Daphnia pulex: one gene and its partner. Each later gene encodes a partner of the first gene's protein in a complex. Links are inferred from orthologs where the notes say so. Each region holds a gene or a part of one and is shown on either strand. Other genes may lie near its edges.

Region 1 (5,544 bases):
AAAGGCTCCGACTCCTCCAGCTAGATTAGTCCCTTCCGTTTGGACATCAATCGCTAGCTTCTTGTGAAAAAGGCGACACATTTCCTTTGAGACTTTTTTAACAGCATGGCGAGATTCTTCGCGTGCTTTTCCAACTCCGTACAGCAGAATGTGTCGTTGATTGCAGTCGTGGATTAAACTATCATCCTAAGTAGAAAAGATAAGACGACTTTAGGATACACAAATAACCAATAAGTAATCAATAATTTAAATATAGTTCGAATATTCGTGCAAGTTCTTAGATCAATATTATGTATATTACCTGAGGCAAAGGAAAATGAGTGGTAAACAGGAGGTGTCTTGATTGACGTTTACCCTCTTTCTCTCCTCGACCAGTTTCAAGTGTGTTATGACTTTCATCTTTGGGAGAATCAGGCGTGTCCTGAGTGAAAGTAATAAAAACAAACATCAAATAAAACCTCTGAAAAATACTTCTTTAAATATCATAGCTAGTAAATAATGCCGAAAGTGGAATTTGATTACACTAATATAAATACAAGAAAAAATACCAACCATGACAATTTGTTGTTCTTCTTTGATATGTTGCAACAACTTCCCAAGATCGTCGTCTATTTTACTGTCATCCATTTCACAGCGTAAATCATTCATACATTGGAATCCCGTTAAACTACTCATTCCGCTGCTTGGAGTGCCAGCAAAATGACCCGAATTTGACGGAGCAACCGTAGCTCCACTATGGCCAGGTGTAACTGAGAGAAGATCACCTCGCGAAATCAAAGTACACATGTACATGTCATGAGAGAACACGTCATGCTTGATGAGTTCATAGTATAAATGAACCAAAGACGCAAAAACTGTTCGATTGTTGTGCCCGGAACTTGATTCATTGAGCACTGGTGCTTCGGAGTCAAGAAATTTCATTAAAAATCCCTAAGAAATCAACATTAATTTTAGAAACATTAAGAAAAACCAAAATAACAATCAAGCAAACCTGATAAACGGGTTGGACGGCGGAAACGGCAGCCAAATTTTCGTCGGTATCATTGTCTTCGCCTCCAACAGCATCACTTTCTGTTAAAGCCACCAAATCCATTTGTCTCTTTTCTAGAAGCAGAGCAGCTGCAATCGCGCGGTGTTCTCCATATCGTTGATCACTAACTGCCCATTGACACAACAGGCGAACAAACGGTTCATCCTGTTTGGCGAATTGGCCAATTTGCTCTACAGTTGCAGGATCAACATTTCCTTTGTTTCCCCCAATTGCCGGAAATATTTTGACGTACAGTGAATCGATACTGAAATGAATATTGATTGAAAGGTCACAAACAGGATGTAAGGGTACGACTATTAAGTGGTCTCACCTGTTGGTCAAGTCTACACGGTCGAAACTATGAAGATCCAATGCTTCGAGAGCCTGAAGCACTCGTGCTGTTATAATCCCAGTCTGTGGCTGATTTTGTTGTTTCTGCTATTGGATGAAATCATCTCATTAAAATTTTAAATGAAAATTATTTCAATATCTAGAATTGGACTTACTTTAACACTACAATTGATTTCGGAGTGATGAATCAGTTTATCTAAAGGCCATCGTGATTCGGCAGCCTTACTACGCTGTTTGATGGCATTCTCAGCTTCTCGAAGCATCTGACGGACCTAGAATAAAAGAATATAGTACGATTAAAGTTTGTCATGTTATAGTGACAAGAAAAATGTAATCCTAGAATTTAGGTCACAAGTCCTTACGTGATCGTTTGAAAAACGAGGAGCCATAGGTAATGCTGACGGAGGAATAGGCAAATGATCTAAAGGGGATCCAACCAAATGAGATGATATTTTTCCTTCTCCAGAATGGTTCCACACTAACGCCGTCGGACAATGAAGAACGACTGCTTGAATGATGGCAGACATTTGAAGAAGAACACTCCTATGCTGCCCACAATTTCCCACATCTAACGAAACTGATCCTTCGCTGATTTGATCGTTCGATAGAAGCGGTGAAATTCTTCTACACACCTGATTTAACGAAACCAATTACAATACATTTATTTCAAGATTTGTATATAACTTGGTCATCCAACCTTACCTGAAAAACAAGCTTTCGACTCAGAATTTCACACTGTGTAAATTCATCTACATACTGCAAGATTAATGGAATAATAAACTTGAGAAGACCATCATCACAAGTTTTACATTTTTCAAGCATGTCCAACTGCCATTGTAAGAAATCTTGGCATTCAAGAAGTCCCTCCTGAAAGACAAATGAAATTGCAAAAACGAAAAAATAAAATTTTATCTCCACAATACCTCAAACATCACTTTGCATAATTGCTGGCAATAATTAAATTGGCGAAGAGCAAGCTTCTGTTCATCACTCATCAAAGGGCTACCATTATGATATGCAGTAGCATTTGAAGCATATGCAGCAGAAGTTCCTCCACTATTTGTGGATTTTTGATAGAAATCTTGTAGTTTCACAATTTGTTCCTTTATGAACCGGACCAATGTACTAGTCCACTCTATATAACAAAAAAATGATTATAATTGCAGATAAAATAAATTATTTAAATCTTGGAAACTACCTTGAGAGGAATCTGGAACTTGACGCTTTTTCATTTTGGCTTCAGAAATAGCCACTGAATACGCAGATGTCATCTTGATTAACCATATTGCTCTAGACATAGGAACCTGATATTCACTTAGTTGGATAAATATTTCTTCCTTCTTGTTGAATATTGGCACCTTGTAAAAGGAATCAAAAGTTGGTATTTTTATTTGTTTAAGATATTCTGAGTATAATATTACTCTTTTTCCTAGATTCATCAAAGGTTTGCTGCCTGCTAAGTCTTTGAACCAAGACTCAATGAATGCCTTGGACTTTGGAGTAACATTATGGAAATTTTCTTTGGGATTGATGAGTTGGCGTTTTCGGCCAGTATCAGGCAATGTGTTGATTTCTTGTTTTTTTGTAAGCACTCCATTAATAAAAGTTTGGACCTAACATTAGGAAAGAATAATAAAATGGTTGTCAGCCTAGAACAATCTATGAACATCATACTAATTACAGTAAATTGTAGTTTACCTTTGATAAAGAAAAGTTGTGATTTTTAGCAGATCCATACTCTTCAGACTGATTAAGATTGGGTGTATGAGAAAATCCTTGTTTCACATTGACAGGAGTCAGTTCATCCTAAAAATAGTATTCCAAATGTTAATGAAAGGAAAACATAAAGAATTATCCTTTTTTTTAAATGAAACTGCCTTTTGGCAACTAGCATTTTCGTACTTGGGCTCATAAAAAAGCTGCAGCTACATTCAAAATATTACCTCTTTTTGTTTGGGATCCTGTGGGTAAACATCGGGCGGTCCTAATCTCAATTTTTTAAGAGGACGATTTTCCATTGATAAACAAGCCATAACTAGCTCTAAAATCAATTTCCACGCAGAAGTATAAATTTGTTACCACACATCAATGTTTACACAACACAAGTACACAAGTAATCAAATACTTCTAAATTCTTATCAAGAGTTCCGATTTTCAGACCATGGTTCAGACAGATATATCAGTGTGATGGCTTTGCTACAACGTTGCATTTCTATAATTTGCTGTTACGGCACACATAAAGAATAATTGGAGATGAATGTATTTGAATTTTGGACTAATCGTAGTCTAGCAACTGAATTTAGAAATAGTTATTAATACAATTGGTATCAATTTATTATGAACAAATTAATGACAAAATATGCTCCTTGCATTTTCAATTTTCATTGATCACATCTTGGCAGTGCTGTAAAAGTCAGCAGACTATATTTTGAACATTTCTATTTTGGCATTTTGTTAGAAATTGTAGTGGCGCGGAATTGCTGAATTGATTGAAGTGAAGGACTAAATCAAGTGAAATTAAATTAAGAATGTCTTCCTTTAAACCGAAATTAGGAGACGGCTCCATAATATTACCACAAGCACGAGTAAAAATGATTATGAAGAGTTCCCCAGATACTGAGAGCATATCCACTGACGCATTATACTTTGTAACAAAAGCAACGGTATTTTTAGTTTGTTTCCAGATAATTTTTTCATCTTATTTTTCTCATCTTCATCTAAAATGTTTCAATGTTTTAAGGAGTTTTTTGTAGAACATTTAGCCCAAGAGATTTATGAAAGTACCAAAAAGTCAAATGAGCTTACTTACAAAGGTCTAGCTGACATTGTTCAAAAAAGTGATTCTATGCAGTTTCTCAAAGGTACTGTGTTACTAAATGGTATTAGTAAAATTTTAATTTATTATTATTATTGTGTTTTCAGATATGGTTCCTAAGAAAATAACATACAAGGAATATCAAGAAATTCTGAAGGAAAAAGGAAATGGTGACTTGTTTTGAGTGTTTATTCAAATTCATTTCTGTCTTCAACATTACTTGCTCATATTTATAAGTGTTCCACTAAGGAAAGTTCAATTTCAAATACATTGATTGAACCCATTGTTCCTTTACGATTCACATCAACTAAGATAGTTTGGTGGTTCAATAGACTGCAGTTAATGTACTGTTGTAATTAATTAATTGCGGTTTTATGTGACCATTTGTTAGCCTAAACGGGTGTGTCCGTATTTTTTTCTCCCTCAATTTAGCGTACGTTATTTTCAAACCACAGCTGCTGCAATAAGCAAAATGGCAAAGTTCAGCGTGTCACCCATAGATGGCGAAAAAAGCAGTCTAAAAAAACAAAACATTTGATTTTGATTTTTGACATTTTGACACTAGAAGGGCTACTCTAATTTCTAAAAGGATGGCGAACTCCAACCGTGTTACAGTAATACATACTGGATATTCTTCTACCACAATTGAGGAAAAAGACGAAAATCTTCCTTTCGTCCGTGCAAATTGCTCATGCGTATTGGTTACCGGCAGTAAAAATAGTAACAAACAGCACAATCCAAATATGTTCGCAATAACGTGATAACAGTTAATAAATTATTTTTTCAGTAATTGTTGATACAATGACACCTTGGGATACCAATCTCATTTTACTATCTTTAGAGGCGAATGGGTTAACCCCTGATGACATCAACTATGTCATATCTACTCATGGTCATTCGGATCACACTGGCAACAACAATTTGTTTCTGAAAGCTAAACATATAGTTGGCTATTGCATTTCTGTTAAAGACAAATATTTTTTACATCCTTTTGATAAAGGTAAATTCTGTGGTTTCCTTTAATTGTGTACTTTATTACTTTAGCTTCAAACAAACATTAATTTTTTTTACATACAAAATGTATGATGTGCTGTAGGTCTTCCATTTGAAATTGATGAGGGTATTACAGTAATACCTACACCTGGACACACAGCAGATGATATCAGTGTTGTTATTAAAACTGAAGATATGGGTACAGTAGTCATTGCAGGTAAAATTTCTTGCTAGCTATATGTTATCAATAATGACATTTTATTTCAATTTTGTCTATTAATTAGGTGATATTTTTGAACGGGAAGAAGACATTGAACAACCTGAGATATGGAGAAGTTGCGGGAGTGTAAATCCT
Region 2 (5,732 bases), on another chromosome or scaffold:
TCAGTTGGTCAAGAAATCGACATCAGTAAACATCTTTTCACGAGTAGACGATCCCTTTGATGACGACTTCTTCCAACCGGATCTGCCTCCAGCTAAAGCTTCTTCCCCTGCACCTTCTAATTCTCAAATGGTTAAACAACCATCTGTTCATGTTTTTAATACGATCGTCGAAGACCCTTTTGCGTGGGTTCAACCCTTCGACGATAACATTCAATTTGATGACGTTGACGATGAATTTACTCTTTAAAACTATCATTTAAAAAGTCGGAACCTTGTCTATTGCGGATTGACGTACTATCTTTTCTCTTGCGCTAAAAATTTCTTTGTCGTTTCTGCCATCCCCTGTCCCCAACAATAACAAAAAAGAAAGCATCCAAGTAACATTTTCTGTCATATCTGTATTTATGACCAGTCATGGAAAGTGGACCTGAAAGTGTGGCAGAATAATAGTTCACCAAATCTCTTGGTGCATCTTTGTTGATGCCAAATGATGTCAATTGGCATAGAAAATGTGACGGGCTAGTCATCTTATTTTTTATTTGTGATTGTATTTTCGTTTCGTAGCCACTTACCATTTTACCCTTCTTTTAATTTTTTTAATTTTTTTTGCTGAACATGAATCAAGGACTCAATATTGTTTCTTTTTCTCGCTTTTTTTTGCTCTACCCAAGTACCCATACACAGCCTCCACTTGTTTTCGCTATTTGGCAGTTACTCCCTTCGTCAAACATGATCATAGTTTACAGCAATTTTCCTTTGATTCCTGGAATCAAAACACGATCCATCGTGTATCTTTTATTCTATGTACCTTTTTCATTTCCAGCGGTAATGCATTATTAAACGTTTTAGTATGAAAATGTACGCATTTTATTTTATTTTACGAATTCAAAATGAAGACAAAATACAATAAGTTGCTAGTAATAGATGAAAAGAGCATCAGAATCTTTGATTAAATGAGTTGTTTTGCTGAGGATGCGACTGTTGTTGAGGATGGCCAGGATGATTGGAATAGTTCGGATGCATACCTCCTTGCATGTTGCCTTGTTGTGACGGATGCTGAGGGTGATGGCCATGGCCATGATTAGAATTACCCGATTGTGAAGCATGTTGCTGTTGCTGTTGTTGCTGCTGCTGCTGCTGTTGTTGTTGTTGCTGCTGCTGTTGTTGCTGTTGTTGTTGCTGCTGCTGCTGTTGTTGTTGTTGCTGTGCAGAAGGATGCTGCTGTACATGGGGTTGCTGTCCAACATGTTGACCATGGAAATCTGGTGGGCCTCCTGACATGTTGGATCCACCAACATTGTTTCCAGGATGTGGGGGAGCCAACCGTACTCGTTTTGCATTAGGACCATGAGACTGGTCATTGGGGGCATTCGCTGCAGTATTCTGACCCTGTGGATTCTTAGCAATCATCTGAATTCAAAAGTGTACCCAAATGCCAAATAAAACGCAAATGAAAGAAAACCAAAACAAGGGAGACGAAAAAGACTAGATAAAATAAAATCAAAAGAACAATTTATTATTACCTTGCTGCTATCAGATTTGTCATCTTGCTCTTCGTCACTCAAAAATTCTCGCTTCGGGTACGGAATAGGACAACCAGCAAATACGCTAATGAAACACAAATCTGATCAAAACTGATTCTTATATTACATTATGATTCTTATTTTAAGTTTACTCTGAAGTAGGTAAAGGATCTTCCTGAAAGTAAGGATCAGCCATGGCAGATTCTGAGGTGAATCTTTTAGTAGGATCCATCATTAAAAGTTTGGAAAGCTTGAAGCAAATTAATCAGTCAAAAAAGGAGAGAAAAAAACGCAACTTTTAATTTTAAATATCGATTACCAAATGAAAAGCTTTAGTATCGGCTTTAATTTTATACCGGTCCATATACTTCATCAAGGAACATGTTTGATAGCTAAAAGAAAAAAATAAAAAAAAAATAAACAAAAGATGCATTTTGAACATGGAGTTAATATTAAGAAGTAAACAAACAAATGGAAATAAACACTTACTTGTTACGTTTAAAATCCTTGAGAAGTGTAGGATGTTCAGGCATTTTTTTAATATCTTCCCAGTCCTTGTCATGTGGAAATCCCATTACGTTGAAAATTCTACAAGGAAATGTAATAAATAATTCATTTCTGACACTCACGAAGAGCAAATTTTCATACCGATCGAGTTGATCGTGATGATAGGGATTGGAAGTTTTAATGTCTTCTTGACGACAATGAAAAATTGGTTCTGATGTTAGTAGTTCAGCAAAAATACATCCAATAGCCCAAATATCTAAAATAAATTGTAAAGCAATGATATAGAATTGTGAAACACCACACAAACTACTAATGTTTTACCAATAGCTTTTGTGTAGTGCCTAGCTCCTAAAAGCAGTTCTGGTGCTCGATACCAGAAAGTCACAACTACAGGGTCCAAATCAGCCAAAGGTTTCAGTGGTGAATTAAACAAACGAGCAAAACCCATGTCGGCAATTTTAACTCTTCCCCTTTCAATTCCTTCTCCCATGACTAAGATGTTGGCTGGTTTCTAAGGAAAAGAAAGCAAAAATCTATTTGTTGATGAAAATATTAACAAAAGCAGATAATTCTCAATACCAAATCACGATGAAGGATCCAGTTAGAATGCAAGTAGTGAATCCCATCCAAGATTTGATATAGCAAAGATTTTACCATGGCTTTAGGAGTGTAAACTGCCTTTTTATTTGCTTTGGCTGCTCTGTGGAATTTAATGATGTGCTAAATTTTGGTTTGTGACAAATATAATAAGTTAAAAGATCATGAACCAAAACAACTTTAGAAGGAAGATTTTAACAAACCCATAAGTCATGTTCTGCATAATCAAAAAGAAGCCAAACTTTGCGATCAGTATGGGAAAGAAATACTCGTTGAAGATTGATCACATTAGGATGCTTTAACTCCCTGAGCAAGGCTATTTCACGACAAGCTGACATGGAAAGACCAGTGCCTTCAATTTGCTTTAATGCATATTCCTTTTGGTCAGCACTATAAAATAAAACATAATTATATTGAACTTACACAATTTCTCGTGCTTAGAGAATATCAAACCTAATTAGTTTATTAATATCCGAAGTGGCGAATGTTTCCTTTCTTTTCGCTTTATACACATGACCGTAAGTACCACGACCAATCTTCCTTCCTTCATATTCAAACAGATCTTCTACTTTGGTACGTTCTACGCTCGTTCGAACTTTAAAATCGTAATCCATGCTAGTTATTGCATGAATGCAAATCAATTTGTGTAATGTTGATATTTTTTCTTGTTGACGATTTTTGGTTTGTTATACTGTAATGACGTTTGCCAGATGGAGGAAATGAAGAGCAGACGGAAAAAACTAAAAATTCAAATAAAAGGCAGAGCAATAGATACCTGGTCGGTTCTCGGCCGTGTTGGCTTCCCTATCCCGGTTTCAGGGTAACCGTGGTCCGATTTGGAAAAATTGATGAGCGCCTCTAGTGAGTGTGTCAGGTACTACGTGAAGCCAGCCAATCAGGAAGGGTCTATGAAAAACTCATTGACCAATCACAGCTTACTTTTCTACAAGAAGTGAACAATAATAAAAAGGTAGAAGTATCCAACTGTCAAACCTCTAAGTCATATATAAGTGTCCTATTTTTCTAAGTGTTCTCACATTCTTACATTTTATTGTTTGTTTGTGTAAAAAAAATATGTAATGACATGGTATGTTTAGTTTTCAGTTACTTTGAATTTTATTCTAGTGTAGTTACAAATGGGTATTTATTAAAACGAATCATTTTCTTGCATACAATGTTTCATAAATACAGAGGTACCTACGCAAGTTTTGCTAATTTTTTGTTTTTTTTTACATTTGCTGAAGCTTCAGCTAACAAAAGATTTTTTAGTCTTTTTGATTCAAAATAATATCTAACTCCCACATATTCTCTTATGAGGTAAGGTAACTTTTCATCTCGATGAATGTCACAAAAAATGGGAACCAAATGACAAGTTGAAATTTTCTCCATGCACTCTTGAAATGACTCCTCTTCATACATTTGGCCAATTGGCTCAAAATGACCCTCAATTACCTTTTCTATCACTCTGAATGTTTGGAACATATTTACAGTGACAAAGATCAAAAACCCCTTATTGCGCATTCGAGTATAATGATCTGCAGTGAAGTCTTCTGGCAACTCCAGTTCCTCGCAGCGAAGGGATTTGTAACAGTCAGGACATTTTGACATACTCTTCCTTGTGTGAATCATATAACCACACAAATCATAAATCAAAATATCTTTGACGAAATTAGAATTCGCTGGTTCGTTAATTTTATCAACAAACCGAATTGTTATTTCCTTCAGTAGTTTATCTTCTAATACTGATCTCAGGTCGGAAGCTCGAATGTCACTTTCCTTGGCTTGACGTTTAAGGCATTTTGACATTGTTACTAGGATGTTCATCTGCTCAACATTGTCAACGTTTGCTCCTTGTATAATCGTGGATAATCTTGCTCCAAGAGACACATAGCGAATGATTTGTTGAAAAGAAGTCACCGTGGGATGAGCATCAACACCACGTACAATGCCGAACAGTCTCTGTATGAATTAGAAAAAAAGTTATTGAGTAATTGCAATAGAAATGATAATCACGATTAAAATTCGTTTCACCTCTACTGGATCTTGATTCATTTTTCCAGTGAGGACTACTGTATAGCCTGCGTTAAACATTTCTTCAGTTAACGCAATAACGCTTCTTATAGTCATTCTCCATCCATGTACGGTTGTCAAGGAACAAAACATTTTTCGGTTTTTGTCCTTTTCATAAATCCTCTCAGTTACTGCTAGAACTGCTAACATGGCTTCAAGTATTTGTTTCCTGCCTTTCACTTTTTCATCATGTGCATTTATCCACCAGTTATTGGGAGTGATTCCTTCTTTGATATGTCTACCGTTGAGTACGTCAAAATTGTCATTCACAGTCTTTGTAAGCCGCTCAATGTGTTCAGTACCTAACAATATGTAATAATCAATAGCATTTTAAATTGATTGATTAATTATGGAAAATACCTTCAAACAACTTTTTCAGCCGTTTTTCATTTGCAGTAAAGGCTGGCATTTCACGGTAGATTTTAAAAGCAAGAGCATTTCGTTCCGAAAATGTTTGAGCAGCTAGTCTGACGTTCATTTTTTGAAAATTGTTTGGTTTTACGTGCGCTTCAGTTAATCGGCAGCATAACATCAATTGCAAACCTTTCTGGGCTTCCAGTAGATGTTCATACGAATAAAAATTTACGTTGTGTCCCTGGAACTACAAATAATATTTAGAATTACAAATTAAGTAAAACAACATTAAGAAAAATAAGTTACCTGAACTAATTTATGTTCAAGCATATGGTTTCTTGTGCATTTCAACAAATGAGGAACATCGTGGAGGCAATGAATTTTCACTGAAGGATCCATAGGGTGTAACATGGAATTAACTCCATCTTCCGTTCCAGAAACACCAAAATGGGAATACACCGTTTTGTTTGTGGAAAACCCATCACATACGCTTGCTTTCGTTATAGCTCCAGCTTGAAACAGACGCGCAATGCTTTTCGTAACTAGTTCTAGCAAAACTGTACCAGATGCTCCACCCTTTGTTCCAAACCACGCAAACGGTTGAATCCAGCCTTTATAAAATGGTCTGAACACAAACACTAGGACATGGTCTGCCAAACCATTTGGGACCATAATGGAAAC

The links. The genes of interacting proteins can lie anywhere in the genome.
Region 2: mediator of RNA polymerase II transcription subunit 12-like (region 1) and cyclin-dependent kinase 8-like share a complex: the UniProt entries of both Drosophila melanogaster proteins name them as parts of the cdk8 module of the Mediator complex. The link is inferred for Daphnia pulex from reciprocal best matches to the Drosophila melanogaster genes kto and Cdk8.

The regions. Positions count from the first base shown.
Region 1 is NC_060025.1:6,925,791-6,931,334, forward strand, and holds the start of mediator of RNA polymerase II transcription subunit 12-like, read right to left. Parts: upstream 3,577-5,544; 5' UTR 3,415-3,576; coding exon 3,325-3,414; intron 3,188-3,324; coding exon 3,080-3,187; intron 2,995-3,079; coding exon 2,803-2,994; intron 2,740-2,802; coding exon 2,580-2,739; intron 2,517-2,579; coding exon 2,305-2,516; intron 2,249-2,304; coding exon 2,084-2,248; intron 2,014-2,083; coding exon 1,744-2,013; intron 1,654-1,743; coding exon 1,537-1,653; intron 1,469-1,536; coding exon 1,362-1,468; intron 1,296-1,361; coding exon 992-1,295; intron 931-991; coding exon 553-930; intron 422-552; coding exon 302-421; intron 187-301; coding exon 1-186. Other genes in the region: chromatin accessibility complex protein 1-like, read left to right, coding at 3,910-4,044, 4,122-4,242, 4,304-4,380; metallo-beta-lactamase domain-containing protein 1-like, read left to right, coding at 4,787-4,916, 4,984-5,196, 5,293-5,406, 5,474-5,544. UniProt on the Drosophila melanogaster protein: Component of the Mediator complex, a coactivator involved in regulated gene transcription of nearly all RNA polymerase II-dependent genes.
Region 2 is NC_060023.1:3,949,368-3,955,099, forward strand, and holds cyclin-dependent kinase 8-like, read right to left. Parts: upstream 3,454-5,732; 5' UTR 3,242-3,453; coding exon 3,081-3,241; intron 3,018-3,080; coding exon 2,831-3,017; intron 2,751-2,830; coding exon 2,610-2,750; intron 2,542-2,609; coding exon 2,352-2,541; intron 2,287-2,351; coding exon 2,172-2,286; intron 2,112-2,171; coding exon 2,013-2,111; intron 1,916-2,012; coding exon 1,843-1,915; intron 1,774-1,842; coding exon 1,676-1,773; intron 1,609-1,675; coding exon 1,524-1,608; intron 1,411-1,523; coding exon 937-1,410; 3' UTR 844-936; downstream 1-843. Other genes in the region: protein disabled-like, read left to right, coding at 1-247; uncharacterized protein LOC124198281, read right to left, coding at 3,825-4,586, 4,659-4,999, 5,058-5,298, 5,358-5,732. UniProt on the Drosophila melanogaster protein: Component of the Mediator complex, a coactivator involved in regulated gene transcription of nearly all RNA polymerase II-dependent genes.